4 linked regions of the Struthio camelus genome follow. The protein of the gene in region 2 interacts with the protein of the main gene of each other region in a pairwise test. Links are inferred from orthologs where the notes say so. Each region holds a gene or a part of one and is shown on either strand. Other genes may lie near its edges. The genes, in order: DNM2, ATXN3, ARHGAP19 and PHAF1.

Evidence for each region.
Region 1: the proteins of ATXN3 (region 2) and DNM2 interact in binary tests that used the Homo sapiens proteins (3 or more experiments, as listed by UniProt). The link is inferred for Struthio camelus from reciprocal best matches to the Homo sapiens genes ATXN3 and DNM2.
Region 3: the proteins of ATXN3 (region 2) and ARHGAP19 interact in binary tests that used the Homo sapiens proteins (3 or more experiments, as listed by UniProt). The link is inferred for Struthio camelus from reciprocal best matches to the Homo sapiens genes ATXN3 and ARHGAP19.
Region 4: the proteins of ATXN3 (region 2) and PHAF1 interact in binary tests that used the Homo sapiens proteins (3 or more experiments, as listed by UniProt). The link is inferred for Struthio camelus from reciprocal best matches to the Homo sapiens genes ATXN3 and PHAF1.

The regions. Positions count from the first base shown.
Region 1 is NC_090972.1:4,735,682-4,743,705, forward strand, and holds the start of DNM2 (dynamin-2), read right to left. Parts: upstream 3,043-8,024; 5' UTR 2,899-3,042; coding exon 2,738-2,898; intron 1-2,737. Other genes in the region: uncharacterized protein, read right to left, coding at 3,832-4,036, 4,240-4,378, 4,779-4,939, 6,261-6,487. UniProt on the Homo sapiens protein: Catalyzes the hydrolysis of GTP and utilizes this energy to mediate vesicle scission at plasma membrane during endocytosis and filament remodeling at many actin structures during organization of the actin cytoskeleton.
Region 2 is NC_090946.1:65,726,975-65,734,987, reverse strand, and holds the start of ATXN3 (ataxin-3), read left to right. Parts: upstream 1-4,979; 5' UTR 4,980-5,111; coding exon 5,112-5,135; intron 5,136-5,525; exon of another isoform or gene 5,526-5,625; intron 5,626-8,013. UniProt on the Homo sapiens protein: Deubiquitinating enzyme involved in protein homeostasis maintenance, transcription, cytoskeleton regulation, myogenesis and degradation of misfolded chaperone substrates.
Region 3 is NC_090948.1:16,953,454-16,961,362, forward strand, and holds the start of ARHGAP19 (rho GTPase-activating protein 19), read right to left. Parts: upstream 3,015-7,909; 5' UTR 3,007-3,014; coding exon 2,936-3,006; intron 1-2,935. Other genes in the region: RRP12 (RRP12-like protein), read right to left, coding at 6,277-6,379, 6,599-6,681, 7,129-7,196, 7,473-7,551, 7,859-7,908. UniProt on the Homo sapiens protein: GTPase activator for the Rho-type GTPases by converting them to an inactive GDP-bound state.
Region 4 is NC_090951.1:21,617,170-21,624,063, reverse strand, and holds the start of PHAF1 (phagosome assembly factor 1), read left to right. Parts: upstream 1-3,880; 5' UTR 3,881-3,913; coding exon 3,914-4,121; intron 4,122-6,894. UniProt on the Homo sapiens protein: Plays a regulatory role in autophagic activity. In complex with BCAS3, associates with the autophagosome formation site during both non-selective and selective autophagy.

The sequences.
Region 1 (8,024 bases), on a different chromosome or scaffold from region 2:
GCAGGGACACCAAGCAAAGGCAGAATTTACTGCATACGTAGTTACCTGATTATTAACCCAAGTGCATCAAGGCAGAACAAAGTTAGTGCCGTGAGACATAAGTGAAATATTCCAGGTTACAGAGAAAATCACACAGATCAAGTCCCACGGAAAGCCTTCCCGTTCAGACCCTTTTTGAAAAGGGAGTCTGTGGAGTGCGGTTAACCCCTTAGTGAAAGCCTTCTGACAAAGACTTAAATGCTCTGAAACAAAGGTTTTTAATTACTAGGCTGGTTTTCCAGCAGCACCATAATTAGAGGCTGCCAAAACTTCCACTGGCAGCTATTTATGAGGGGTAACAACTTGACCGTTTCAACCCCAACTGCAAAGAGACTTGGCAGAACTCATCGGCCCAGATGCAAGTTTAGTCTGGCAAAGTTAGACCTGCCCTGGTCCAGCTGACTCCTCCTCTCCCTCCCACACGAACAACAACGGGCTCAAAAGGCATCCTCAATTGCTTTGCAGGCTGCAAATCCATGCTATGAATTAAACCCCTGTGAGTATAAAAGAAAAGGCAAATTGTGTCAGGTGATGCATCACAGAGCAGGCTCCGGATCCTGACCTCACCTCTAGGAAAATGTTAAGTAAGCCGAAATTTGAACTGCGGAAAGCACAACAGTGGAGAAAACTCACGCAGGCCTTTCAAAAGATCCCTTCTCTACCGATAAAGGAAGCCACAGCGACCACGAAGCCAACAAATCTAAAGCGCTGGAAAAGACACTTGGTCGGCTGTGTGGAAATAGGACGGTATCCCGTTACGTCAGACCCGACGGCAGAGCAGGGCCGAGTCGCTGTTGTGTTGTCAACGGAGAAGCAGATCCGTGCACGCTCCTGCCGGCCAGTGTCAGGATGAAATGACATCACCGGAAATCTGCTATTGTTGCTATTACGGCATCCGCCCCAGCCTCGACTGGAGCCCCGTTGTGCAATGAATTTTTTAGGCACGGCGAGAAGCAGCCCGCGCTACAGCGAGCTTGCAAGCCTAGATCAAGCCAAAGCGGAGCACAGGAACAAAGCAGAAGGGGTCAAGCAACATCCTTTACCCCGAGCGTGGAACAAGTGCACGCAGGAACGGAGCAGCATTGAGTGCCGCCAGCTCTCAGCCCTGCGCTGCGCTATGAATTGCAGGACCGGCGCCGCCATCCCCAGAACGGCAGAGACAAAAGGTGGAGAAGGCCGAAGGACTGACTTCTACCCTCCGCTCTCAGCGCTTCGATTCAGAAGCGGAAGTTGTTAGCAGCTACCACGGATTTTGAAAGAGTCAGCAGGGTCATATGAAGCACACGGAAAGATTTTTAAACCCCACAGCCTTAGCGCAATATAAAATCAGGAGCGTTCGGCTCCCCCACGTTATCTCGACAGCCACGCTCTCCTCCCCACCCTAGCGCATCCCAGGCCGCGTGTCAATCCCTTATCCTGCCAATTCCGACCGGCTCTACAGCAGGGTCCTGACACCCCTCCGCTCCTGGGAGAGGCCTGGCAGAGAGCTCAGCCCTATCACAAGGGCACACAGCTGAACGGCACCAAACACGAAAGCCGCCCAAACCCAGGTGCAGCGATGACTCCAGGCCTAAGGCTATCAGAGTGGAAACAGAAGCGTCTTTAGGATGCAACTCAGCATTAACCTTTGTAAGTTAACACAGTCATGTTGAAAATTATAAACCGGAGCAAGACCATGCTCTAACGCTGTCAGGTCTCTTGTCAAGCATCGCAACGGGATGCCGTGCCGGTTGTTTCTGATCAAGCCTGGGCTTCCCCTGTCTCCGCTTTACACATTTGCACTCCGCAGGTCAGCCCAGCGTTTCTGGAGCGCCTTCCGGGCACCCGCGCAGGAACTCAAGGATGCTGACGGCCGTCAGGACGAGCCGGCGAGGCCCTGGCACCGCTCGGCGGGAAGGCTGCGGCGGCCGCGCTCGCGGCATCCCGCGCTGCTGAGCTCCGGGGACGGGCTGCCCCAGGCCTCAGGGAGGCGGACGGGGTTGGGGGGGGGGGGGGGGGGACGCACGGCTACTGAGTCAGCAGGGGCTGGTGAGGGTCCCGGGGGCCTAGGCAGGGCCCTGTGGGGGGGGCACCAGGCAGGGCCTAGTGGGGAGTCCTGGGCCTAGTGGGGGGGGGGTCCAGGTAGGGCCTGTTGTGTGTGTTTTGGGGGGGTCCTGGTCCCCGGGCGGGGCCCAGCGCAGCCCCTCCACACCCCTGCACCTCCCCCCGGTGTTACCGCGCATCCCCAGCCCGGGGACCCCGCTCCGCTCTGCTCCCGGGCCCGGGCCGGGCCGCACCGGGCAGGCGACGGCGACAGAGGCCCGGGACTGGCGGAGCCCCCCGCTATTCACAGAGCTCCCCTGCGCCAGCGCCGCGCGCGCCCGCCACGGCCCGAGCCCCCGCCTGCGCCGCTGGCGTAAGGGCCGGCCTGTGACCCGCTCCCCTGGGCCGCGCCTTACGCCAAGTGCGTAGCACAGGGCCGGGCTGCCGGGATGATCCGCAGTTTGCGTAGCGGTGGCCGGGCACGGGGCGGGGGGGGGAGGGGGGGCTGCTACGGCGGCGCTCGCGCCCCCGCCCGCCTCGAGCCGCCTTACGCAGGCGGGATTCACCAAGCGCGCTTACGCCAGCTGCGCCGCGCGGCGGCGGCGGGCGGGCGGGCGGCTACGCAGTTTGCGTACGCGGCGCCCGCCCCTCCCCGGCGCGGCGCGGCGGGACTCACCGGCCCACGAAGTTCTCGAGCACGGAGCTCTTGCCCGCGCTCTGCCCGCCCACCACGGCGATCTGCGGCAGGTCGAGGTGGCAGCTCTGCCCGATGGAGCTGAACGCGTCCTGCAGCTTGTTCACCAGCGGGATCAGCTCCTCCATGCCCCGGTTCCCCATGGCGGCGCGGAGGGCCCCGCTCTCCCGGCGGCGGCGGCGGCTCCTCCTTACACAGTCCGCGGCGGCGGCGGCGACCAAACTTCCCCTCCGAGTCTCCTCATCCGGCACTGGCGACACCCCCGGAGGCGCCGCTCAGCCGGGCCCGCCCCGCGCCCCTCAGCCGGCGCCGCCATTGGGAGCCTGAGCCGTCAGTCAGAGCAGCCGGCCGAGCGGAGCGGAGCTCTTCGCTGTCACTCAAGAGGGAAGGCGGGAGCGGGTCGCCACGCCCCACCTCTCCCTTTTCATTGGTTTCCCAACGCGTCGCTCGTTCCTACCAGCCAATGGGAGGTGGAGCTGGCCTGTCAGCTGAGACGGCACAGCGGCAGCTCCCGCCCCAAGACTTTGTTCCTGCCATTCTATTGGTAGAGAGGACTGCCACTCCGGGAAGCTAGCGAATCGCTTCCCGAAGGAAACTAGCTTGTTCACCCCTCCCATACGCCCTTGTCATTGGACAGCTCCTCTGCCAGTCTACCAGACTGACCAACCCAGGGCGGGTACTCCCTGACGAAAAGCCGCTCATGATTCGCCAGCCAGCCGTCAATCACGAGCCCCATTGATGCTCTGCCGCTTTCTCCCTTCCCGGGCACAGCCCAATGACGTTTGGAGATCCCCTACCGTACGTCCCCGTGTAGAAGCCCATGTCTTGCTACCGCATGTCTCCGAGGCGAGGGCCGGAGGCTGCACTGGGGCCAGGGGAACCCCCCTCCCCTGGGGACCGTCACCCCCCAGCGCAGCCACCTCGGGCCACGCTCAGAGTCCTCTCTGGCACCAACACACCAGCCTGGGGTCACATTCAGAGTCTTTATTTTGCACCATCCTCCCATCACAGCCCCGCCACGGCACCTCCTTACCAGCACCCGCTGGGGACAGCTGGCCCGAGGGCTCGGACGCCCCTCACTCCCTGCCACCTTCCTTCCCCGCAGCATCCTCCGCCGTGGCGGGAGGTCCGCGGGAGGCCTGCGCTGCCAGGGAGGAGCGGGGACGGGCCCGCGGGCTGCCACGGCTCCGGGGGCACGGCGAGGCAGGGGCCTGCATGCCCGTCACCAGGTCGCTGAGCCCTGCGGGGAACTGGCCGGCGCAGAGCAGGTCCGAGCTTCTCCTGGAAAAGAAGGATGGGCTGAGCACCCCTCGCCTGCCCCACCGCGAACGGGGCATCGGGCATAGGTTACGACGAGTCCCAGTGCCAGGAGGCTCCAAGCCCTCGCAGGAGGCAGCGCGGCAGACGGCGGCGCAGTTGGCCGAGGTGGCCCCCGGCACGAGCCGGCGGGGAGCACCGGCGCTCTCCGTCCTGGCGCCATGTACCTGAGGTCCGCGGGGCTCTGGGGGCCGCTCCCCGGGGCGAGGGGGAAGGTGGGCAGCGAGCGGCGCTGGCGCCAGAGGTAGCCCGCGGGCAGGTCCTGGGGCAGGTCAGCATCCAGGCGCTCCAGGGGCAGGGCCATCTCTGCGGCAGGGAGGGCAAAGGCACCGTGAGCCTCCACCCCACTGCGTCTTGCTGTGCGTCTTGATGCTCATGTCAGACTTGGGGAGCAGAAAAACCCCTTTCCACACTGCAAATGCCTTTGGGCATCCCCAGGGCAGCAGCTGAGCCCCAGCACCTGGATTTCAGGATGCCAGGACCAGCAATAGAGGCCTCCGAAATCCAGGTGGGACCAGAACACCCTGAGAAAGCTGAGTCCAGCGGGCCGGCACCTCCTCCAGGCTGGATTGGGAGGGCTATCTGCCCCTGTTACCTTCCCCAGCACAGACCAGCAGGGATTCAGTGAGAACCAGCTGGACACTAGCAGGGTGTATCCCTCTTTCTAAGGGCAATCCTCCCTCCTCCAAGCACCTCGCGGCCCTACCGCTCCGGATCCGGCTCAGCTCCGGTCCCAGCAGCTTCCCATCCATGCTCAGCAGGATGTACTTCTCCACGCGGAGCTCCGGGCTCAGCTGGTCCACCGTCCGCCGGTTCGGCCGCTCCCGCGCCTCGGTCCGCGCGTCGTGCACCGTGTTCATCTTCCAGCTGCGGAAGGGAAGGACAAGACAGGGTCTGTCACGTTGCTGGTCACTTCAGCGCTGGGCTCGGCCGGAGCCATCCCAGCCAGCCCGCGAGGAGGTCTGCGCGGCGTCGGACAGGGATGCAGCCCCATTCCTGGGGGTGAGGGGCTGCCATCCTGGCTACCCAGCTCTACAGCCCGGTCGCAGCCGCATCCCAGGCCGTGGGCGCTCTTCCGAAGCCAGCAAGGCTGCACCCGTTGCAGATGCTGGCTCTCCACCATGTCAGGTGGGCCAGGGAGGGATGCTGCAAATTTTGGACACATCTTGGCTATATATCCTAGCCATAAGGAATTGGGGGGGGGGGGGGGGGGAAACAGGGATGCCCAGAGAACCATTCCTCCTCCAGCTCCATTTCGTACACCACAGGCTGCAAGCTGGACTCATCCCCAAACCACGAGGCCTTTGTCCCAGGGCTGCGAACGGCACCATATGCCCTGGTGCCAGCCCGGCTGCACCCACAAGGCTCTCCTCTCGCTGGAGAGATCAGGCAGCCTCGCTGAAACTGCACCATCATCCCTCTGCGGAGAAATAAGAGCCGTTCGGACTCAACGCCGTGTCGTTTACGGCCCCCAGAGCCCCCATCCAGCCAGGGGAGCTGCGGCCTCCTCCAGGCAGCAGCCCCCCGTCCCAGCCATTTACAGCAGCGGCGGGATCAATCCTCGGTCCGGTTTCGCCCCCGGCAGAGCCGCCACCCGCGCGTCCCGGGGGCTCTGGCAGGCTGCCCGTCGCTCGCTAGCCAAGGTCAGACCCGAGGGTGCCCGGCGAGCTGGCCGGCGCTGCCCTGCTCCCTCCCGCGGGGCAGGGCCCCTCTCCGGCCACGCGCGTGGAGCCGGATGGCTGCGGCGGGCCGGAGGCAGGGGAGATCCGTTTCCCCGCTCACCTGAGGGAGCCCGTTTGCGCTCCACGGAAGCGGGTTATTCGAACCCGCTCGCGTTACCATAATCTGGGCTCAGCCATTTCGCTTGGACACAAGAGAGCTGCCCCACCGGAGCAAGGAACACTCTGTTCCTAGAGGAGGAGAGGAAAGAAGAGGCAACGAAGCAGAGGAGACAGGTTGGATTTGTTGGCACCGCTTTCTGCAGATGCACCAAGCCACAAGCACAGCTTTCAGTCCCCAGCGATGAGGAGGGAGGGGCAGCACGGGAGGCTGCAGACGGAGATGCCAGCAGCTGCTCACTATTTCCCCTTCCTCTCCTTCTCTCTGGGAAAAACTAATTAAATCCCTTGCTGCATTAAGCAAGCCTGTTACCAGATTTCCAGCGGCAGATTTCTGAGAAAACCCTTGCCTTATTTCTGGAGGAAGAGCAGATGGAGGGGCACACGGATCAGCTGCGAGCAGGCCAGACCGCTTCAGGCTCTGCTCGCAGAGGTGACACAGCTCTGGGAGAGACTTGTTCTGCAAGAGCCCAGAGGAGGGAAAGCTGGAGCTCGATCCAAGCCAGGCTGTCGCACGGCTCAATTTCTCTAAGCGCTCATCCTTCATCCAGCTAGTTAACGCTGGAAACAAGCTCATCGCACAGTTGTGCGGTTCCCCCCCGCCCCAGGAGGGCCGGGATGAGCTGCCGGCTGCTCCGACACGTGCATCGGCAGGACATCCGTGCCCCCGCCAGCCCACCCCGGGCAAAGAGGGGCTCCAGGGCAGGGCTGCCGGCAGCGTGCCCGCAGCAGGGCCGGGCTCTCCGTCCGCGGCTGCAGCATCCCTCGGCCCGCCCCAGCCGGAGCGCCCCGCAGAAGCGGGCTCGGGCGCAGCCGCGCTGGGCACGGCGCATCCACGCAGCTGAGGCCGAATTGGGCCGCAGAGCGCAGGCACGGGGCCGCTTTCGCGGAGACGCGCGGGAATCAGCCGGGCGGCTCTCGGCCGGGGCTCACCCGGCACCGCCGGGAAAGGTGCGGGACGCCTCGGCACGGTGCGCGCCGGGTCTGCGCCTGGCCCCGGCCAGAGTCCCCACCGGCACCCTGCTAACTAGGGAGGAGGAAGGTTTTTTGGGTCATTTCTGAAGGCTTTTTCCATTTAGCATTTTAAATGCAAAACTCTTATTTGTAACAGGATACTGCTGCTATATAGGACCACCCCACAAGCAAGACTAACAGCTGTTGAAGTTGGAGCACAAGGGAAAAGCTTCCTCTGAGCCCCTTGGATGTCACCTCTCTGCGTTTTCAGGCACATACCTCCTTGCTTTAGGGAGAAAGCCCCCATTCCCCCTTACCACCAGGTGTTTAATGGAGGTCCCGCACCTCCAAAGGAGGTCTGACATGGGTAGGCAGAGCCCCCTGCGACAGCCCAGCCTCGACAAGCTTTCCACCAGGCTCCCCTTAAATAAACTACGGCAGTTTTGGGAGCTGGCGCCCCAGCCCCTTGCTGAACCAGTACCCTTCCCAAGGGACGTTACTTACTTCAGACCGACCGGGTCCCACGCACCAATCCAGGACGCGCTCCTCTTTCACACTAAAAGCTATTTAGGGGGGAAATGATGTTCTGCCAATCTAAAGAAACAGGAACAGTGATTTATACCAAAACAGGGACCATTCCCACAGCTCAGGCTCCCCACATGCTCCCTCATAGCTGTTCCCCAGCAGCTAATCCTCCTTTTATACCCACGCTACCCTCAGACGACCTGATGGGGGGCACCTGGCCCTTACCTGGCCTTAATATCCCCCCCCTTCAGGACCCGGCTCAAGTGCCTGGCTGCTGATGCATAACTCTCTAAGCTAGTACCTGCTCCGAGTGTTTGGGGCTAGGTAGCCCTCCAGGCAAGGTTATTTCAAGGTTATGGTGAGAAATCCTGGGTGCGCTCGGAGGAAGGGCAGAGCTCCTCTTACATTGCATGAGGGGAAACTGAGGCCGGGCAAGGCACCGGCTTCCCCCCGCGAGGCCGCCCCGCTCTCGCTGGCACCAGCGATGGGGGACGGCCAAGGGCGAGCGCCTCGGTCAGGCCCTGGGGAGCTGCGGCCGAGGCCAGGGCCGCAGCGAAAGCCGGTCTGGGCCGCGGGCGGCGAGGGGGGCAGGCGGGTCTCTGCAGCCGGGGAGACCCCAAACACGCGGGGACCGG
Region 2 (8,013 bases):
TTTCTCTCCAAGTGTTCGACCTCCAGAAGAACTATTCTGAATGGGAGAAGGGAATGCTTCACTAGCTAACCCAAAGGAAAAGTCTATTTACATAGAGCCACCTCTAACTTCTTACACTACTGAGAACATGGAGGAGAACGGCTGCTACACACTACCTCAAATAATGCTGCTGGTTATTAGGTATTACCTATCTTTTGATCTACCCCCTTTTAAACATAGGGAAAAGAATACTTTTTATTTGCCCCAAGGGAATTTTTTTAAAAACCTAAAAACAAAAGGGTAGAGCCTTTGCTACCCCTGGAAAAAGCTGCCACCAGAAGCGAGGCAGCCAGCAGCGACGCCCACCTCGGCGGGGACGGCGCGGGGGCAGCCGGGCGGGGCCGCAGGGCCCCCGGGGCCGCAGCCCCTCCAGCCCGGCGGCTCCGGCGGGGCAGCCCGGCGCGGCGCGGGCCGGGGGCGCGGCTCAGCGGCTCCCGCCCGCAGCCGGGCTCCGCCGCCGCCGGGCACCGGCCCGGCCCGTGGGGCGCCGAGGCGGCGCCGAGGCGGCGGCGAGCCCCGGCGGCCCGAGCCCTGCCGGCAACGCGCCGCGGCTCCCCACGGCGAGGACGCGGGCGCGGAGGAAGGGGGCGGCGGGAAACGGGGAAGGAGAACCCGCAGCGAGCGCTGGCGCCGGGCCCCGGCGATGCCCCGGCGATGCCCCTCCGGGCGGCCGCGGCCGCCGCTACCTGCTTCACGGGCCTCGGTCAAGCCCACCGGGGCGCGCGCCCACCGCCTCATCCGGACACGGCGCCATCCGCCATCTTGAGAGGGGCGGGGAGAAAAGAAGGAAGGGCAGTGCGGGGGTGGCGGGCGACACCACCGCCAGGCCGCCGCGGGGGGGGGAGGCGGCTCCTCCCCCGCTCCCCGAGCAGCCGGTGGGCTGCGCCGGCCTGCGCGCTGCGCCCGTTGCCCTTGGTGTGGCCGCTGCTCCGGGCCCGGCGGCAGCGGCAAGCGGTAACGGCTGGGGCTGGCGGCGGGAGGGAGCGGGGCGGGTTGCGTGGTGCCGGCGGGAGCCCTCACCTGCAGCGCCTCGGGGCGCTTCCCTGCGCCGGCGGAGCCTCGAAGGCGGCAGGGGCCCTGCCGCGAGCTGCGGCCCGGCCGGCGTCGCGGCTGGCTGCGGAGCGGCCTGCCTCCCGCCGCCCCGCGGCGCCCTTCGCAGCAGCGGCGGCGTCTGTGGCCGTCCTCGGGGCGGTACGGCTGCCGGGCTGTCTCAGATCGTCCCGCAGGACACTCATGCGGAAGGTTTGGGCTGGTGAGGTTGGAACAGGCTTTGCGGAGTTAACAGATATGTTATCTTGCTTCTCTGTCAATGGCCAAGTGACTGCGAGGCTTGTCTTTGTGACTTTTTACTGATATTAGGGCATCCATCTGCAGGATTTGGTACTGTAAATACATGTGTTATGTTTTGCAGGAGAGCAAATTTCTGTCCTTTTAGATTTGTTTTAATGGGTAAATTATTTTGCTGCTGTGGGTAGATTATTTTGTCACTATTTTGCCAATGATGCCTTAAAAGAGTCTACTCATCTCTAGCTTTAGGATAAGATCCTATTTCCCAGCACCACCGAGCTTTTTTGTAAGAATCCTGTGTTTGGACCTGAGAACAGCATGCACCTTGCATGGAGTGTTTAATGGCCCTCATGTGTTTATTATTCCATAGTAGGATCCTAGTACGTGAGAGTAAAGGCGCTAGGTATGTCGCAGTTGTCGTGTGCAGCTCTATCAGTAACTCTTCTGTGTTACACTTCTCTTTCTAGCAGTCATGGTGAATTTCATGCAAGCTGTGCGTGATCACTGGGTTCACATCCTTGTTCCCCTAGGATTTGTGATTGGATGCTATTTGGACAGAATGAACGATGAAAAATTGTCAGCCTTCAGAAACAAGAGCTTGCTGTATAGAAGGTTTGCTTATGATACCTTTTTAAAATATATATGTTCTGTTATTTTGCAAAGTAGATGTGCTTCTCTGTTCTTTTTGAGAGTCTCAAGTACAAAAAAAAGTCAGTAATGCTGTCAAAATATTAAGAGGAAGAAAGCCCTAAAAATTTCAGTCAACTTTCATTAAGAGTTTTGAGTGACTAATGCCTACTGAAAATCTGTGCTTTAGGGCCCATCTTAGTGCTATAAGTCATGAAAGAAAGTGTGCGCGATTCTGTCCATTTGACCTATTAGTTGAGATAATTGACTTAAAATTTTTTTAAATAAATGTTATTCTTGGAAGCAAGATAAACAAATGCAAGAATTAGTAAACGTTAAGACACTTTCATTTATGTCTAAGTAGACTTATGAAAAGGATGACTAGAAAAATAAATAGAAACCTAAATATGTGCATAAATAAGAAACTCATGTTGCTAGGAAAAAAATCTTCAAATAAAATTTAATCATTTACTTAACCACTATACTTCACCATTTACAGTGTAATTAACATGGCATATTAACACAGTCTTTGCTGCATAGAAATTGTTACTGTTCCTTTTTAAATAAAAGTAACATTGTCTGAAATACTACTAATAAAAAAGAATCTCAAAGGGTTGAAGTAAAAACACCACTTGAAACATTCTGTAAACTGTACTTCTGAAGAGACTGTTTAAGATGGATTTTTCTGTATACTGGGCCCGGAGAAAGTGTATGAAAAGGGGAGGACCTCCAAACCACTCTTCTCCTCCCCCCCTCTTCCCTTAAGTCCTTCTGGAAATGTTTTTGAGTCCTCCTATTTAGCTGCATTTGGATACCGTACCAAGTTCACTTAAATGCACAATACTAGAGCTCTGACAAACTTTACCTAACAAAATAATGTTAAATGTGATAATTGCAGGGGGAGGGAGGGGACAAATTTATAAAACATATTTTAATGTAAAGTAACTTATTAAGCTAGGGAAGTAGTCTGTAGGTATGAATTTCCGTATTCTCCGTGTCCTTGATTTTTCTACAGGTGGGAAAATGCAGCCTCTTGCATTTTTTTGTGTATTGAAAATGGAAAGTGATCTTTTTCAGCTTCCAATTAGTTTTCCATTTTAAGTAACTAAATATTGATTTGATATCAAATAATTTGGAAAAAGAAGGTATTTTTGCATTGGTATAAAAGGCTTTAGCTTTCCAAAGCTTGTTAATCATACTAACTGCTGCCAAGTGCTTAGCCATGAAACTGTGCAAACCTTATCTTGGCTCTGTCTAAAACTTCAGCAGAAGCAAATAGTACTTGGGTTTTCCTTTAATTTTAACCTTTTCAGTGGATTATAGTAAAATTATATCTTAAGTTTAAAAGTATGACATCATATATATACATAGCATGTATACATATATAGCATGTAAATACTTGTATAAATTTGCATCATTTACATAATTATCGTCTTTTTTTAAATTAACCCAGCTTCTGTATTTTGAATGTTTAACGTTTAATGTTAGCAACTGCTGTGTCTTTACTGAGGATATGACTATATACCCATGGTATGGGCTTGCTGGCTTACTGCTCGGGGAGAATTGAGATAACTAAATGTGCTACCTCATCTAGATCAGTTCTCTTAAATCTGTATAAGACTGCAGGGTTAACCAAACAGCAGAAAAAGAATCATGCTGCATAATTACTAATTCTAGTCTATCACAGACTGGAAGAAAAGTAGAAATGTTGGTATATATGGTTTGCAAGTGACTTTTTTTTACTCTGGTGTCCCATGGGCTAATAATTCTGAGTGAGAAAGTAAAGTAACACGCCCACTGCTCACGCCACTGTTATTAGCACTTTTCTCACTGCAGTTAGTGGTTAAATTGCACTGGCCTTTCAGTATGTTGCAAAAGCTTCCTCTGGTTTTGTTTGTTTGTTTGTTTTTCCCCAGTAAAGTAATGATGTTTTTCTATTCAAAAGAAATAAGGCCCTGTTATGCAAAAAGTTTGTTATGTTATTAGAGGTTAGGTGTTCGGTGCCCACGTTTGAACTAATTGAAGCGGACTCAAGCAGCTTTGGAAAGAAAAAGAGAACATTTACCCATATTGAAAGATTCTAAACTGACAACACAACACTTTGAAAGAAAGTCAGATTTATTCATTATAATTAATATATATTTCAGTCAAGGTTTCTATAATAATGAAAGCTTACATCAAGGTTTTCTATAATAATTAAAACTTACATTTTTTAGTAATTATCCTACAGAAATGATCCTAATGTTATTCCCCTGCCTTTCTTTTTCCTTTCCACACAGAGAATTGAAACCTGGTGAAGAAACTACATGGAAATAGAAGCTGCTGATGAAATGGGAAATATTTTCACTTGTTCAATCAACATATATAGCAAGTTAAAAGAACAGGATTACAGTTTTTATTCTTGAGTGAACGTATAAGGCTGCAGAAAGGAACACCTACGATTCATCTCTGCTAGTTTATAATTTTCAGTCCTCCTTTTTGAAAGATAATTACATGACTAGTACAAGTCCTGTTCAGAAACATTTATCCCCGGAAGTCATACTCTGAAAGAGGGAGGAAGACTTATGTAATAAAGAAAAACTATGCAAAAAGCATGTATGTCGTTATTAATTTGTATGGTGTAAAATTCATGTAGTTCATAGAGAGACAATGTTTAAAGGAATATTTAATATAGATCCAAAATGTGGTAGAGAACGTATTTATATATTTTTAATTGAAATCTGAACCGTTTTCTCTTTAGATTTCCTCTTTAGACATGTTTCTTTGGAATGTCAGCAGTGGCAATACTGTAGCTTTGTGATAGTGCAAGAGAACAGGAGAATGAAAAGGATTGACAGGCGGTAAGAGACAGCAGTGAAGCCGACTTCTCTGTGTGATTTCTAAATTTCTAAACCAAGCGAAATACGGGAAAAGCTTTCGAGGGCGCAGGGAGGTCGGGGGGCGGATCCCGGCTTCGTGCCGCCGAGGGCGCAGCAGGGCCTCCCGACCGGCAGGGGGCGCCCTCGTGCAGGCAGCGCTCGCACCGCCCCGCTGCCGGCGGCTACCGTGGGGGTGGGGGCTCCGCGCGGCCGGGCTGCGGCGGGTTGCCCGGTAAAGCGAGGTTTGATTGGCTGGGGCGGGTCACGTGAGGCGGAGGGTGCTGGCCGTTGACAGTAAACATGGAGTCTATCTTCCACGAACGGGTGAGTGAGGGGCTGTGGGAGGGGAGGGTTCCGCTCCGCGCGGAGCTTTACCCACCCGGGGCCGGGGTGGGGGGCAGTCGCGGTGTCGCCGGGCCCGGGGGGTGCTCCCTCCGCGGAACTGTACGGGGTGGCGGGCGGGTCTCCGCTCCCGGCCCCGGCTCCGGGGCGGCCCTCGGGGCGCGCTGCGGCCGGGCCCCCTCTGGCGGCAGGGCTGAGGCGGCGGCTCCACTCCCTCTGCCTCGGCGGAGAGCTGGGCCCCCTCGCACCGCGCTGCCGGACCCTGCGGCCCGGCTTGGCTCTGCGAAGTCTTCCGGCTCGGTGGGAAAAGGAAACGTTATACTGGAGATCAAAGAAAGCCAGGGCCGAGCCTCGACGTTTCCTCTCACCCAGTGACTTCCCTTCTCGGGCCTTTGAAAGTAGACCTCCGCTACGGGGAAGTGCAGGCTAATGCTGTTCCTGTTTCTTGAGAGAGAGCTTCTGCGGCTGAGAAGTGAGTGTGAGGGTGTGTAGCCTGGGCAGGCAGGACTGTTTCTGACTCTTCCTGTTATGTTCTCTTTCCTCTTCACTTAGCCTGCCTTGATTTGAGTTGTGTGAAGAGCAGGGAAAGAGAGTGCTGTTAAGGATTTCCTTAATCCATGCTAATGCACTGCTAATTCATGTGCAGTGCTTCTGTATGCTAAATAGTGTTTCCTGATTTGGAGGAGAAATGCTTCCATTAACTCTTGTGGTTTATCTAGGTTCCCAAATGCCAACTGTGTGTGCTACAATGCTGTTGGAGTACTATTGTCTTCCTCATATGCTTTGCCAATGTCATAACATCTTTATTGTGTTAAGATTAATGCTAGTTCTTATACACTGTTCTCAAACAAGCTAGCTGTATAACTGTATAAAGCAAACTTTAATGTTCTGGAATTTGTATAACCTGAGGAGTGTGTTTTCACTGGATTTGGATAGCAGAACTTTGCAAATGCTTGGGGTGTTAAACTGCTGCTGCTCAGGGGATAAGTATTGATTTCAGTCATTACAGCCTGTGTTACAGTGACCTTGAGTTCCAGTCCAGATTTGAAAATAATGAGTTCAAATCAAGTGTACCTTTCTCTTATGTAGCCTAGCCTGTCACCTGAGGAAATAGTAACATAAAGTGTTTTTGAGGAAATTGCTTTGTTGATTTTGAATAATAAAACTCTGGTAGAGTTAAAATGATAGAGCATAATACTGTCAGAGTTACAAGTTAATTGTCATTTGTAGTTGCTACAAGTTCTTATTGAGGAGTGGTTTTGTTTGTTTATCTTAATGTTCTTGGGACGTCTTGCTTGTGAATGGTATGCAACTATGCTTTAGCAAGTTAGTTATCCAGTTATTAATGTTCCTGGCTGTCTGTTTTAAAAATACTTGGCACTCAAATTCATCTTATTTTGTTATAATTACTATTCTAGGGAAAATTTGACTGAACTACTATGTCTTTTTTCTTTTTTTTTTTCTTAAGTGGTATTTTTTTTTCCTGAGTGCACTACAAAATATTGAGCGTTGAATGCCTGTGTGCATCACTTGTACACTTCAGAAGTTTTAATTAAAAAACTGAGGCATGAAAAAAATGACATTTTTAAAGGGATACCTTTAACAAAACAAAGACCTAAGCAATGTGACTTTTTTTTTTCCACGGGAGAATGGCAAATGCCCAAAGTAGGCCTCCTCCAGGCTTAAGGAGCCACTTTCTTAAAATTCGACCCCTTCTCTTACATGATACAAGTGGTTGAAAACACCAAAAGCAGGGCAACAGTTTTATATCGAGATAGATCTCAACAAGGAGATTTAAGATTATGGAAAAAGCATTGTGTTCTCCACACACAAAAAAACAAACTTAACTTTTCTTACAAACTGTAAGATCAGTTTTGTCTTCTGCATTTACCCTTAATACGTACAAATCATGCATATGAAAAATTAATGTATGTTGTCTTAAGATAAAACTTTTTCTGTACAAATATAGAAATGCCCTTTCAGTGAAACTGGATTTAAACACTGTCATACAACTTGTTTTCAAAGACTATAATCTCTCTTTGTTCCTAAATCGGTTTCAAGTAGTTTTGGTGGAGAAACTTGCAATTCTTAAGCAGGTTGCTCTGCTTTAGTTTTATCATATGACCAACAGCAGGGATGTGGTCTTGGAGGATGCGGTCTTTCTTGCAGTGGGAGAACACAAGCTGCGGGATGGTGGAGAAGGTTTCTGAATTCTGTTAGACCCCAGCTGTACACCCAGTCCAGCCTTAACTCATTGCTTAGTTGAGTGATAAAGCCCTGGGAAGATTTTGTAATCTGGGGTAAAGGAAATTTTTGAGATTCCTGCTTTAAGGGATGAACCATGGCAGATCTGTGCATATAGCTTGAATGAGGCTGTCATAGAAGTTTGAAGAATATTCCTACAAGGCATGCCCTTGGTACTTGGGATTTTGGGGGTTTTGTTTTGTTTTTTGTTTGGTTGCGGTTTCTGTTTTTATTCTTCAAAGTGCACGTACTTTAAGGTAAACAAAAATAGGAAGGATTAATTAAAATAGCAAAGATGAAACCTAGATTTCAAAACTGATGTGAATCTTATTTTGCACTTGCAGTTTAGTTATTTCTTTAAAAATAACGGTTATTGGCTACTAAAGTTTTCCTTTTTTAAGCAAGGTAGCATTTTTATCTGCACTAATTATGAGAATGAAAGAGCGTGACGTACATTCAGGTTTTTTTTTTACTTATCCTACAAAATAATAACTGTCACTTCTAATTTATTCATTTTTAATTTAGATTGATAGTCTAAAAGTGATATATTACATTTGTGTTATCTCCAGGGCGCTGGATACATAACAAAGTATGTAAAATGCCTTGTCTTTAAATA
Region 3 (7,909 bases), on a different chromosome or scaffold from region 2:
CTCCCTTCTGTTTGCACGACTTACTAAACTACCATGTACTGAAGACTATTGCTTTTGGGGCCAAGGAATTTGATTTCCAGAGCTGACTCCAGCACAAGGGAGTTTTAGTTTCAAACTGAACTGAGTGCCCAGGCACCTTTAAAGCAGCATTAACGAAGCCTAGTGACATTTTCATATGTATGTAAATGTGCACGCTGCAACAAGGCAATGACCAGGCTGGCAATGAGACCCAGACACTGCTTTGGGACATGTGGGCAAGCAATGCTCCCCCTTCATGCAAACAGACAATACGCTGAAGCGTAGCAGAACAAGGATCCTGTTGTCCAAGTCCATCCAGGCCCTGGATGGGAACAAGAGGGAGCGTTACATGCAGACATACAAAGATACTGCAAATGCAAGCTAGCCTTGTGTTCAAGTCTGGATGCACGCCTGACAGGGCTGGACAGAGCAGAGGATTAAATGCAAGTCTAGGTTTCAGAGATTTTTGAGAGCTGTGGAGAAGGGAATAGTTGAATAAGATCATCCCATGCTTCAGGCTGTCTTCTGAGAAAAGTAGCCATCTGTTCAGACTTGGCTTTACTTCAAAAAATCAACGAGTTTTCCTGTGTAACCCTAGCAAGGCACTTTGACTTTTTGCCACTAAGTCATGTTTGCAGTGAACATATTTCTATTTGTAGTAAAATAGAGATGGCATTTATGTCTCCTTTCATCGCCTATTTAAGATGTAAACTCTTCTTGTCCAGTTGTTCAGTGACACTTTTCCAGGCGTTTTAGCAAGATGCTTTTTTCTAGTGCATCCTGCTTTCCAGGCCCACAGCTCCTTCTCTTCCACTTATCTCACCATTGCCATATGAGATGGCCAACACGAATGCTGAGTGCCTGGCAAAGCGCTTAGGCACTGCTTGACTCAAATATCAAATGCATTCAAACAGACAGATGTTCCTTTTTTGGAAATGAGCACTCAGGCACACCGCAATCATTGCTCTCAGTCATGAAGAGCCAGGCAGAGGTTAGAGTCACCACAAATAGAAGAGACATCTGCACAAATCATCTTCTGTCATGTTCAGTAACATTTGGTAAGGAGGTTGAGACAACCAGCTTTCAATCTCTAAGTCAGCACATTGTAAGACCACACGCAAAGCACGTGAGCTTTACTAGCTAACTTGTGCCTCTCTCCAGATGAGAGGAGATGGGGTGAAAGAAAAAGGTTGTAGCTTTTTTTCTTTTTCTTTTTTCTAAAAATACTTTGCAGTGGTAGACCTGTAAACTAAGAGATGAAGTCGCTAGCAGTATCTGTGCGTGACAAAGTGCTGGAGTAAAAACCTTGTACTTCAGGCTTTGCTTTAACACAGTTGCTTGTGAGAGGGTAGATAGAGCTGGAGGATTGCATCCTAAAGGCAACTGTCATTGCACAGCAAAGAAATTCAATCATTCATACTGATCCAGGACACATTTAAAATGCTTTACACCAAGGAGCACCCCAAGCATCACCTCCACAAAGTGCGCTTACCCTCTACCAGGTACAGCATTTTAGGTGCTCCCTGCTCGAGTGTGCTGCACTGAGCAGAACGCTTCCCTCCTATCAGAGCAATGCTTGGCCCCCATTCTGGGGGTCCATAGCAGGTCCCCCACGTGATGAGCAAGTGCCATCAGATATGGGTCCTGCTCCACAGAGAACAGGACAGCACCGCTGTGAGTCAGGTCAGGCACAAGGCATCACCCTTCAGACCATTTATTTCATGAGTCCACACGAATTACCAGCCAAGGAAAACTCAGTCTGCAGCACCTCACCGCACATTCTGGGGGGCGAGATGCTACAGCCTTTCGGCAGTCATCCCAGAATATTGTTCCAGTGACATGCTTATACATTTGCCACTATTTTACTGGCAGCCATTACAAAATAGTTAGGCATATTAAAATATGTGACAAAGGTGAATCATGCTGACCTTACAGGGTACCTGTATTTGGAAATTCAGAGTAATGTGTGCAGAGCAGACAAAGCAAGGGAGAAAAAGGCTTAGCTGTGAAACAAGTCTATATAGTGCCATCACCCTACCAAACCGTGCAACTGCCAAGCACTCAGTACTATGTCGCAGTTTGCGGCTGCAGGAGAAATGAGCCAGCCTAGCCACAGCACGTCCTGTGCCTCTGCAGGCAGCGAGTGACTGCATCAGAGCAGGAGCAGAGCTGCAAGGGAGGCTTTCACCTTTGCTGACTTCAATGCAGGGACACGCTTCCCTATGAGGACAGCCTTCCGGCCCACGGTAGGTGGTTTGGAGCACGGCTTTCCGGGACAGGGAGGTCTGTGCCCCCTGCAACGCACTGCAGGGACGCTGCGGGAAGCGCTGCCCAGCTGCTCAGGCTGACCCCACGGGGACGGGGGGACCGCAGCACCGAGGTCCTGGGGTGACGGAGCCCAAGCGCAGCAAACCCGCCCGGGGGTTCACACAGGGACCCAGCCTGATCACCCCCGAACCTGCCCCGCAGGACCAGTGAGGTACCTGGGGGCACGGCACGGTCCGTTCCCGGGGCGGGGGGGGGGGTGCCAGTGCAGCAGGGACACGCTCGGGGTGCGCAGCGCCGGGGCGGGACGGGCGGGCAGAAACACCGGCACCGCGGGGCCCCCGAGCTGCAGCAACCCCGGGGCTGGGGGGGGGGGGCGAGATCCTGGCGCCGCAGGGGAAGCGCCGCAATGGGCGGGCCGAGGGAGAGAGACCGGCCTGCGGGGCGCCCGCCTGCCGGCGACCCGCTGCCGCCGGGACGGCGCACGCAGCGTGCGGCGCCTGCAGTGCAGCGCCGTGGGACAGGCGAGGGCCGGGCAGCGAGCGGCCACTGCTGCCGCCAAGGAACTTGGGGGGACGGGCCGGGGGGAAGAGGGCGCCGGTGCCCGGTTTGGGGGGGGGGGGGGGGGAGGCGGCGGCGCCGTTGTTCCTACCTGCCACCGCGTCGCTCCCCAGGCGCCCGCGCTCCCGCCGCCATCTCATACCTGCCGCCCCGCCTCCCCATTGGCCCGCCGCACCACTCCCCCTAGGCCCCGCCCCTACCGGCCCTCCGCTCACCATTGGCTGCAGCCGGCGCCGCCCCGCCGCCATTGGCCCGTTCGAACGGGCAACGGCCGATCCGCGCGCACGGCGGTTGGAGGGAAACGGCCGCCCGCCGCCGCCGCGCTCAGCATGCCGGGAGTTGTAGGCCGCCGTGGCCGGGGGCCTGCGCGGGCCCGGACGGGACGGCGCCCGGCCGGCGTCCCTCGCCGCCCGCCCGCCTGCCTCCACGCGGGCTCGTCTCCCCCTCCTCGCGGCCCCGGCCCCTCTGAGCAGGCTTCCCCCTCCCCAAAACGCGCAGTCGGTGAAAATTAATTTAAACTTAAGTTATATTTAAATATAAACCGTCAGAAGCAGGTTTGTTTCTTGGTTTCTTCCCTTGTGTGTGGAAGTACCGACCTTGCCCTGGGCCAGTGGCCCTCTGCCCTGGCACACTCGCTCCACTGCGGTTTGCACAAGGCTTTCAGGCAGCAACCAGGAAAAGGAGAGAAAAAAAAAACAACCCTTTTTAGGAACAAAAAGGGAAACTGCAGATCAGAGCACTGAGGGGACTAGAAATTAAACTGACTTTTTTTTTAATTGACTGGATTTCAGCTTCAGCTGTCCCTTGGCATTTTAAACCTCCAGGCTTAAGTTATCTCACCGCCAAGCATTTTAGCATGAAACAAAGCAGTTCTGTGGTTTAACCATGCTGCATGGAAAAGGAGCTCTCGGCCCACCTGCATCTGCTGCCGGGATGCCCCCCGTTCCTGCCCCATGAGAGACCCCACACAGCCCCCCCTCCCCCCCCGCTTCGGGCTTCTCTGGGGGTATCCACAAAACATGGGTGCCCAGCCCCTGCGAGAGGTGCCGTCACCCTCCGCTGCTGGGCTCCAGCGGGAGCCGGGCCGGCAGCTCTGCTCCCTGCCGGGGGCGGCTGGGCCTGGGAGCGGGCTGGACTCGGGGCCACGTCCCGAGGACGGCCCCTCCCTGGGTTGCTGTTGCGTTACATGATTAATTAGCTGACTAACAAGGTGTTGTTGCAGAAGAAGCTGTTCTCCGGACACCAGCTCAGGCGAACGCCATCCTCCGCGCGAATGAAACTCCTCTGTTCCAGGCAGGCACCGCTAATTTAAGCGACAACATGCAAATGAAGAACAATACAGTGAATAATCTGGAGGTTCTAAATGAATTAGCTACAGCCGTCTGCAGTCCCCGTCTCCAAGGAAGAAAGAGATAGAAAAGAGCAAGACAGGTAGCTCTGAGGGGCCTGGAGCCACGTATTACAGGTGTTGGCCAACACAGACCCTGGTGTAATGGTCTGAGCGGGCATTTTCTGGGCAGGACACCTTCCCCCACAGGGTTGGCTCAGTCCCATTGCTCCTGGCTGTCGTTTATCTGGATTTCATGCAATGGCACTTTGGGGCACGCAGAAACACCAGCCACCGCTATCTGTGCAGCCATAGTCGGCCCTCACAGATGACACACCACAGCTTTGGAGCAGGAGTTTCAGCTACTGGTCCTTTCTCTGGCTGTGGGCTGTCTCTCCTTCAGGCCTCCAGGCTTGCAGGAAGGTGACTGCTGTCTGCCCCCCCCCACCCCATCCTGAGATTTCATGAGTGTGTCATACAGAGCTGAGCACGGTGAGGAGGCTTTGCTGGAGGCTGCCAGGGCTGCGGTCCCTTCCGCTCCTGTCAGGACGGGTCCTTGCTTCCCCAGCTCTGTTTTTAATCAGCATCACAGAGCTCTGCAGGCAGGGAAGGACATGGCAGGAGAGTGGACCTTGGCACAGGGAGACAGGAAGAGCCTTTCCATCTCCAGGATGTCTGGGTTTTCTTTTTTTATTTTTTCCTCCTCCCTAGAGTACAACTTTTCCTCCTTGGCTTGAGGCTTTCTTCCCTTGTGGGAGGAGGATTTGAGTACATCTAGGCTATAACAGCCTATGAGTTTTGTCAATAAAATTGTCCTATGTTCTTGACCAGCTAATATGCAACACTTAAGCATAGGTCAGATAATGAAAATCTTCGCTGCCAAGACTGTAAAGACTGGTGCACCACTAAAGAAGTTTGGGGGCAGTAACACAGGCTGCCCCACAGGATAGCCAGGACTGGACCCATACACCGTATTTCCAGGTAGGAATAAGAAACGCAAAGCAAGTTCCAAAACTGGGGGAATGGGACCCTTCAGGTCAGCAACAGTGAATAGGTGGCAGGATTAGAGCAGCAGCACTTCCACACAACCCTGCATGCAGAGGTCCAGTGAGATCCCTGGGTGGAGAAGCAGGAAGGAGAGAGCGCTCCTGGCAAGGCACAAGCAACAGTAGTAGCACAAGAGCTCCTCCTCCACACCCAGGCTCTTAAAAGGATCTTGAGAAACAAAAAAAGCACAAAAAGGAGCCACAAAACTGGATTTGCAACCTCCAGGAAGAAGCCTGCAGTAAGAGGCTGAACAATCACAATCCGTTTAGCTTATGATGAGATCGTGAAGCATTATAGTTCCAGCATGTAAGCTACCACGATAGGAAATGACAAAGGACTACAAGCTTTTTAATACAGAAGAAAAAAGGAAAGCCAGATACGTTCATAAATACATGCTCTTCACAGTGTGAGCCATTTGCCACAGGACCCGCATCCCAGAGCTGTAGCGTATCCACTGTCCTCAGCTCCATCCTTGTTTTCTCCAGGGCCCTTTGGCCAACACCAGCCGTAACAGGGTAAAAATGGATGCTCAGGTCAACCTGAAACATCAGGGCAGCTAAACATCCAGGACTGCTTGTGCTGGTCAGGTCCAGTTGGTGAGAGGTGGTCAGAGCAGAGGAAAGGGCCTGTCTCAGCTTTTCTGGTAAGAGAACGGGCAGCACAGTGAGGTTGCAGTAGTTCAGCCAACAAGAAAGAGTTGGCAGAGCGTACAGCTCCTACAGGAAAGACAGGAGGAATCGAGGCTGGGTAGGAACAGTGGGTATTTATCACTGCAGAGAATTCATTACACACCACTTGCTCTCACGCACATACCAAACAGGGTCACTGGGGCACAGTGTCAGGCAACCTGCTGCCTTCCTCCCAGCGCGGGAGGACAGGGCTTAGGCCACGAGCCCGTAATGCAATGGGGTGGCTTTCCCAGGAGGCTCAAGCAGGCACACGCCACCTCCTGCAGAGGAGTTCCCCACTCGTCCCCACACAAGACTCTGTCCCCTGGTGCCCAGATGTGACTGGGTGCTGTCACTCCTCAGGCAGATGCAGACAGCGTCCAAGGCTCCTCAGGGACGACGGTCCTTCAGACGGTTCCTACGGCCAGCCTGGGCCCCTCGCTGGGCCCCCTTCATCAGGCCCTTGAACTGACCCTGCATTTTTGCCTGCTTCCTAGGGGGAGGAAGGAACAAGGCTTGGTTAGCACAGGCACTGGGCACAGCCAGCTCTTCCGCCGGCTAACGCAGAGGCTTGCTCCAAGCTCTGCAAGGGGCAGCATAGAGGCCAGTGGAGAGGTTCCAGACCCCCAGGCAACCGTAACAAAGCAGAGCCAGGATTGAACCCTGGTTTCGGCCCTGTTCCCCACCCTGTGCCCTTCCCAGCTCCACCTACCTTCTGTTGAGCTTGGCCCTGTTCAGGGGGATGTAGGCGTATGGGTCCAGCTGGCCCTTCTTCTTCACATCACCTTTGCCTTTCTGTGGGAGATACCAGCATGGGAGAAGACGCAGCACAAAAGGAAACGCCTGCACCCGTTCTGGGGCAACCCTGGCATGCAGGCTCTGGTGCACTGCCAACGCCAACTGAGGCCAAGGCCTTTAGGGCCAGATTTCCCACCCTGTGATGCAGCACCAGACACCTGCTGCGAGCAGGCACTGGGCACAGCGAGGGCAGGACAACGGCAAGGACAAGATGAGCTAGAAACATTCACGCGAACCAAGCGTCTGGCAACTCCCCTCGGAGCCGATACCCCCCAGCCTCAGCAGCGCTGGGCCGAACCCCAGCAAAGAGCTAGCGCTTCCTGTCCCCCCAGGCCAACAGCAACCTTGCGTCTGCCCTGCCAGGGCATCCCTGATGGGAGTTCCTGCCCCAGCAGAGCCCAAGGCACCCCTCTCCAAAGCCCTGCGACCCCCTGGGGCCCTCACCTTGGATCTGTACTCTGCACCAAAAGCTGGCTCCTTGCCCAGCTGCCGGTGGATCCCAGAGCCTCCAGCTGGAAAAGAGGGAATGTGTGTTTCAGGAAGGGGTCTCAGGGCCAGGGCCAGGCTCCCCCTTCCCAGCTCTTACACAAGAGGGAACCAGGGCTAGGGGAGCTGCTCCCTTGTTTGCCTCCAACTCTTAAGTGCGAGGAGAGAAGAGAAGCACAGAAGTGGGACAATTTCACACAAAAGCAAAAACCTCGACTCCAGCCACCTTGCAGCAGCCCAGCAGTAACGGTACATGGTTCTGGCTCCGTGGAGAGCCACAGACCAGGCACAGACAGAATTACCTCTGTACTGAGGGTAGGCTCCAGACTCTGTCTCCTCATCATCTGGTTCCTCTCTGAATCGACGCTTCTGGCTTTTTTTCTGCAGAAAGAGGAAGAGGGGACCCTGCAACTGGCTTGTCCTTACTGTCCTGCCCTCCCACAGACCTGCGATCTCCACCAGGCAAAAGAGCTTTCTGCCTCCTCCTCCCATAGGGACCCAAGGCCTTCCAGGCTCCCTGTGCAAGTCCTCTGACCCAGGCCATCCTCATCTTCTCCAAGCAGCTACTGCTTGCCCGGTGTCCCCACTGGCCTCTCAGTCAGAAATGCATCTGCTGCAGCACAGACAGGGGCGCAGCCCAGCCAAGCCCACCCCATCATCCCCTCCAGATCACAAGCCCCATACTCACACTGCGAAGGCCCACTTCTTGCAGCACATCTGCCATCTCCTCATCTGCTCC
Region 4 (6,894 bases), on a different chromosome or scaffold from region 2:
TATCGACAATTGCCAAAAAAACAGAGGTAGGCAAATTGCCAAAAGCAGAGAACGGGCTTTTTGTATTTTGGCATGTTCCTTTTTCTTTTGCCGAGGTAGAAAGCTGAATCCTGTTCTTTAGTTTTTTGGTTACGGTTCTTTTTGAAAGTTGGAACTTTCCAACGTATTTCACTTGGATGCCATTGCATTGATTATGTGGGGTGCAGTAAAGTACATGTGGGTTTATGTTATATGAGAAACAATAAATTTTGGGCTAGATTAAAACAAATATTTCAATAAATTCTCATCCCCATATAGATCAATATGGTCCAATTTAATTATGTGAGCATGTTTTCAAGGGAAAAAATGTTCTTTTTGGCCAAAGCAAAAAAGTGAGTGGCTCCAGCTAAATCTATCTTGAAAAGTCCCGCTGAAAACGTTCCTCCGTGAGAGCAACCAGTGCTGTCCCAGCAAGGCGGACCCAGACTGGTGTGGAGGTGGAGAGGAAGGGAGGGAGATTTTTTCAGGCAGCGTGAGCGAAGCATGGGGCTGGCTTGTTTGCACAGCCACCAACCAGGCAGTGGGTTGTTGTCTCTCCCAGGGAGAACAATTTGCAGTGGCAGGAGAAACCATTTTAAGTCCACCCACTCTGCCATGCGGCGCAGCAGGACGAGGCGGCACTGAAACGTTGGTCAGCTCTGGGCCTGCTACAGCCCCCACGGAAACCACCGGGATACTTGGAGCTGCATAAGGAACAAGAGTCACTTTTTTCTGCCACGGGCTTACCTTTAAACCAGAGGGGTACACATGTAAAAACATGCAGGATGGTACCTTTGGGAATTGTGTTTCTGGTGTGGTTGGCAGTTTGCCTTGATGGGCAGGTGTGGTGCAGATGTTAGCATGCAGGAGAGGCCAAGAAAGGCCTTTTAATTCCTGCCAGCTATGGAAGAGGAACGATGTTTTTCTGTTATAATCAAGTCCACACATTCTACTGACATTTGGGGTGGATATTTTTGTATAACGGCTGGGCAAATTTGCTCCAAAGAGATTTTGCAGGCTTGCACTTTCCACTCTCGCCCCGCAGCTCTTTGCGGATAAATGACCTGCTGCGATTGCTTCCCTGGGGCCGTCCGCGCCCCTGAGCAGCTTGGGTCTCCAGGTCACTTCAGTTGTTCTGATCCTTATGTGTGTTTTTGGAAAAAAAAAAAAAAAAAAAAGGCAGAAACTATTCACAATACAGTCTTATGATCTGTCTAGACTATGACTTCATCAGTGTATCTATTTAGAGGCGTGATTTTATACAGGAGTAGCAGGACCAGAAAGAAGATGTTCCCTCCCATTTCTGCCTTTTCCTTTAAGGCACTTGAAAAGAATATAGCGTTTTGTTTCCCCTCAACCTTTTATACACAAGTATCTCGAAGCACTTTAGAGAGTAATGAGATTTTGGAAGTCAGGCAGGAGCTGTGTAAGCAAATGGCAGAGCTATTACAGGCCAGGATCAACCTCTCAGACTTGGCCGCTAGTCCCTGTTTTATCGAGAGGCTCTTGGCCCAGCTGCTGAGATTATCGCATTACTCAATTCAGAACATGTGATGAGCTCTTTAACACAGACAGCCCCAGAAGGGACAGGAGCTTCGTGTCTCGTCCGGAGGACGGCAACTTCCCACGAACCGCTGAGCCTCCTTACTGCGTGTCAGGGGAAACTTTTTCGACACAAAAAAAATCCCCAGTTCATTTCTTTTTACTGGCTTGTCCTCTTATAATATAATGGACGGTCTTGCTGTCAGTGAGTGCTTTATCCCGGCTGACTGTTTTTCTGGCCCGCTTCCAGAGGAAGGGAACTTTGCTTGTGCTGCGTGTCTGCCGGCCTGCCCGGCCCCCTCTCCCCACCATACCTTCTGAACTGGTTAGCCGACGTCGACTAAATCTGACACAGACAGGAGAGGTCTCCAAGCCGTTAAGGTCTTAAAAGTACTGGAATATGAAATGGCTTGGCGGAAGAGGCAGCCGCGATTCAGAGGCTCTGCAGCAAGAGGGGCTGCAGCATGCGCTCAACCTGGCTATTAGACAGCAGAGAACCCATGGAGAAGAGGCAGGTGATGGACGAAACCCATGGGAAACAGGCTTCCTGAGTCCTGCGGTCTCCGAGCAACGTGTCTCTCTCCACCGTTAGCCCTGGGTTGTCCTTCTGGTTCCTTTTTACTCTGCTTTCTCTTGAAGTGTCTCCCCTACCGTGAGTGTGCTTGTTCATGGGGAGCGTCCTGTCTCCTTTGGTTTAGCAAGCTGGTTCTCCTGTTTAAAGGAAGAAGTGGGGAAAAAAAAAAATTCAGAAGTCCTAAAATTTAATTCCTCATATGTTGTGACCTTTCTGTTTCTTCTCTTCTCCCTTAGGTCTACTGATACAATCTCTTTTTTTAAAAAAAAAACACAACAAAAAAAACCCCCTCATCTAAAAGCATCTTTTTCTCTGTCATGGATGGTAAACCCGTCTTCTCAAGGGCCTCCTCCAGGCACGTGAAATCCTGGTCGACGTAAGGTCAGTAAACACCCCGCATCATAAGTAGGTTTTCCAGGAAAGTTTGTTTAAAACAAACAAACAAATGAACATTTAAGGGAAAGACGGGCCCTTACTGGGAACAACTTCTTTTCTGGTGCACCGTCCTCTAACCAAAGAGGTGCGAGAGACGGGAGAACTATCCTCACCATCAGGTCCTTCAGTTTATCTGCCAGCCGTTACCGCGTGAGGGCCCCGGCTCGCTCGGTTTCGTAGCCCCGTTGCGCGCCGGGGTGGAGCGCGAGCGCCGGGACGCCCGCCGGCCCCCTGCGAAGCAGCTTTCCCCACCGCTAAGCGCGGCCCGGGCTGCGCAGAATTAACCGGACGTGTCGCTTTTCACCCATCGAAGAGCGCTGGCGGTAGGAAAAAGGTGTTTTCTTACCCCGCGTTAGCTAATACGCGGGTAACTAATGCAGCCGGCGCCGCTATCCGGCTGGGGCCAGGAGGCCGGCGGCGGCTGGGCGGGAGGGTGAGACGCGGGCGGGCCGGAGGGGCCGGGGAGCCCCGACGGACGCGGGAGAGCGGCCCCGGGCACCCGCCTTTGGGTGCCTCGGGCCCAGTCACGGCGCCCAGCGGCCCTGCCTCGAGGCGGAAGCGCCGTCTCTTGGCTTTCTTGCAGGGCGGGCGCCTGCTGGGACGTGGCGCGGAGGTGAGGTGAGGGGTCCCCCGCCATGGGGGTGGCTGGGGGGGGGGGGGGGGGGCGCCCGGCCGGCCGAGGCAGGGCTCGAACCCGCGGCCTCCCACCTGCCAGGCGGACACCCTCCCCCTCCCCCGCCGGCGGGGGCGGGGCGGCGCCCCTCCCGCGGCTGCTCCTCCCCTGGCCCCTCCCCCTCCAGATCCCGCCCCTTCCTTGGAGCCCCGCCCCCAGCTCCCTCCCTCCCGTCGTCCCGCCCTCCCCCCCGCGCGCGCGGGCTCGCCTGACGACAGCTGCAAAGCACTTTTTCAGCAGCCGCAAGTGAGGTGAGTCGCAGCCCCGCAGTGCGGGGGGCGGGGGGCGGGGGGGATATAACCCCCCCCCTCGGCGGGAGGAAGGCGCTGTCGGTACGTCCGGGCGGAGCGGGGGCTCCCCTTCCCGCCGGGGGCGGGGGGCCGGGCGGTGGCTCCCGGGGCCCGGCCGAATAGGAGGAGTGGGGGAGGGAAGAGAGGGAGCGGGACGGTGGTCGGGAGGGGACAGAAGCCGCGGGTGCGCGCGCGCGCGCGGGGCGGCGGCGGGGGGGGGCGGTTGCTATGGTGACGGCGGCCGGGGGCGCCGCTGTGACTCAGCGCGGGGCCCCGGGCCCGTCGGGGGGGGGCGCCCCCCCGCCGCCGCTTCCAGCAGCTTCCTGCGGGCGGGGGCCGGGGCCGCGCTTGGAGCGTCGCGCCGCGCCGGAGCGGCGGCGGATGGGGCCGGCGGGCGGGGGGCGGCGGCGGCGGCTGGACCAGGCCGCAGGCCGTGACCCGGCGGTCCGCTCCCCCCGCAGGGCCCCAGCGCAGCGCCTCGGTGACCTGCTGTGCGAGCCCTGGGCCTCGACGCTGGCAGAGCCAATGCTAGATCTGGAGGTGGTGCCCGAGCGGTCTCTGGGGAACGAGCAATGGGAGTTCACCTTGGGTAAGTCCGGGCCGGGGCCGGGGCGGCGAGAGCCGGGGAGCGGGGAGGCCCGGAGCCTGGCTTGCTGCATCGCGGTGGGCGCTTGAAGCAGCTCTTGAGCAGAGAGCCTCCTCGGTCACGTTTTGCACACCGAGCCGTGCTACCGGCTTGTGTACTTCCTTCTCCTCACTCTCCTTCTTATCGCCGTTTTAGACCGATCTTTTCATTATTATTATTTTATTTTTTTAAATAGCTCCCCAAAGAGGCGACACGGATGTATCGGTCGTAATCTGAAAACTCTGGGTCAGGTGATGTCAGTCTCTTCAGCTGTGTAGTAATACTTAGCATAAATACTGCGCTGTTCTGCCCAAGTCCTTTGTAAATACGAGCGGTTTCACAATTTCTGTGTTACTGCTGGGTTGCGACATTATAGTGAAGAAAGTGAGCTTTTTTTGAGAGGTTTTCCCCGGGTTAGATAAGCATTTATCCTTCCAGTGATTCTCTATACCCTTATTTTTTTATTTCTCTGAAAGGTGCTTCCCTAACTGTCATTCCTCTGTTTAGTGCAGTGAGAAAGAAGAATTTTCTCCCAGCTAATGTACATTTAGCTGGTGCCCAGCCCGGAGCTCTTAAGCACAGAGTTGAATTTTAGGTAGCACAAATTCTTCAGATGATCTTATTTTCGAGCCTACGTTGTTAGTCCTTCAAGTTTCCCGAAGTTACAGTAGCTGTCCTAATTTTCACGGGATTGTTTTGGATTTCAGCATTTGACTCCTTTTCTGGCGATTTTTCATCTCTGCTGTTGCTCTGTCTAAAGCACAGTTAACTGTGATAGTAAGATGGCTAAGGAAAATAGGGCTCTGTGTGGCAGCCATTTGTCTCTGCCAGAACTTGAGTTACGCTTTTATTTCTGCTGCTGTTGTTGTCACCTGTGATAGCAGGGGGCAGGCTCTTGGATGAAAAACATGCTCCGTGACCAGGCTCCGTGAACTTTAGTCGCACCAAAGGGGCAGTTACAGAGTTCTTTATATGAAACCCGGCAAACCCCAATGGCTGTTTACACCTCCCTGAATTCAGAATCAAGTACAACTTGATTGTTAATGGGAGTGTTAGAAAGGCTTTTGGAGGCTAATAATAGTACCTCACATCCCACCCTTTGAAATCTTTGGGATCTCCTTATACCACTAACATGTTACTGTGCTCCCTCAACTCTGCATGTCCTCCTGTGATCCTTTATTATCTGTATTACCTGAAAATAAATCTCAAATTCTGTGCCCTAGCGATGGTTGTAAGTGTGTAGTAGTGGCTTTCCCTCCCTGCCCCCTGATTCTCCCTATAAAAACAAAGAGAGAAGACAGTTTTCTCCTTCCCAAGGAGCCCGTTAATGCAGTCTTACGATTAAAATTATATACTGTGTATATGTGTACACACACATGCACATAGATGTGAGGGAGAGGAAGCTCAGCTGTAATTCTTGGAGTAAACATAGCCACCACGTGACATGTCTAATATATAATTAGCATGACCTGCTTGTATAGAGCAAGGGACTGACTAGGTACTAAGATACTTAACTCTGTCCTTTGCTAGCAGTACTGTATGAAAATTCCTTGCTGATAAAAGCTGGTTCGACTGCGCTGGTGGTAGTGAGGTTGGAAGCCTAAGCATAAGTGGGATTCTGGCTGCCGGGGGTGTACTACTCATCATTTGTTTAGATCTGCTCTTAGCAAAACTAATGGCAGTGTTCTTGAGCTGCTGCTGACTCTGGCTTCCAGTCTTGTACCCACAATGGAGATGCCTGAAGGGAATGCCAGGAAAATTTTTTACGTGAGTTTTTTGGGTTCTGTTTCTCGCTCCAGCATTGACTCATGATCTGACCAGAGCATAAAAAAATTTAACTAAGACTGAGTTCTGTGTTCAATTAGGTACCTGTGTCACTGCCATCTCTGAGGCTATGTTCCTGAAGTTTCAAAGAGGGAGAACAATTAAATACTTATTTTGTACTGCCTCTGGTTGTGTTATTAGCAGTAGACATGCTTACAGTTTCTAAGACATGTTTACATTTATCTTGCTTTTTATACTTTCCAACTAAGTTTGACTCCTTTCTCTTTTATTTTAGTTATGAAACCTCTTCTCTCACGTTGTTGTGTTGTATTCTTTTTTTATTATTCTTTATTCACTTGTCTGCTCCCTGCTTTTAGTCAAAGGGATAAAACTTCAAGACATGTTTGTGACCAGTGTATGTCAGAGGAGTATCTTGTATCACTCCAGGATTCAGAGAAGGGGAAAGGAAAGTATGTGACAGCAGAGTACTAGACCTGAACTTTGTGGGCTTTACTTGCAATAGCTTGCTTTGGCTGACTGTCCGATATGTTGGAAACCATGTTTGCTTCCCAGTTTCCCCCAGCTCATAAGCAGGAGAAAAACATTCTTTGTCGTCGTCTTTGGCTGCAAAGACTGCTCACTGTTGAGGAAAAGGAGGTGTTTGCATGTATGTGTGAGAAGGGTGGAGGAAAAATAACCTAGCTTCTTTGCCCCTTCTTTGGCTCTCTACTAATGGAGGCAAAGGGAGGATATTGGCTCTTCTACCTATGTTTTAGGTTCTTTGAACTATTTTTGGAGAACTTGCGTTGCTATTCATAGCTTTGCTAAGCAGTCGTGTAGGAAAATCAGCTTAATTCTCAATCTGGGAAAACTGAATAAAATCAGTCCGTCTCCGTTTGCTTGCTGCTTGAGAAAGCTCTGAGTAAGAGAGTCACGTGAGCTATCTGTTTGCACACTCAACGAACCCAAGATT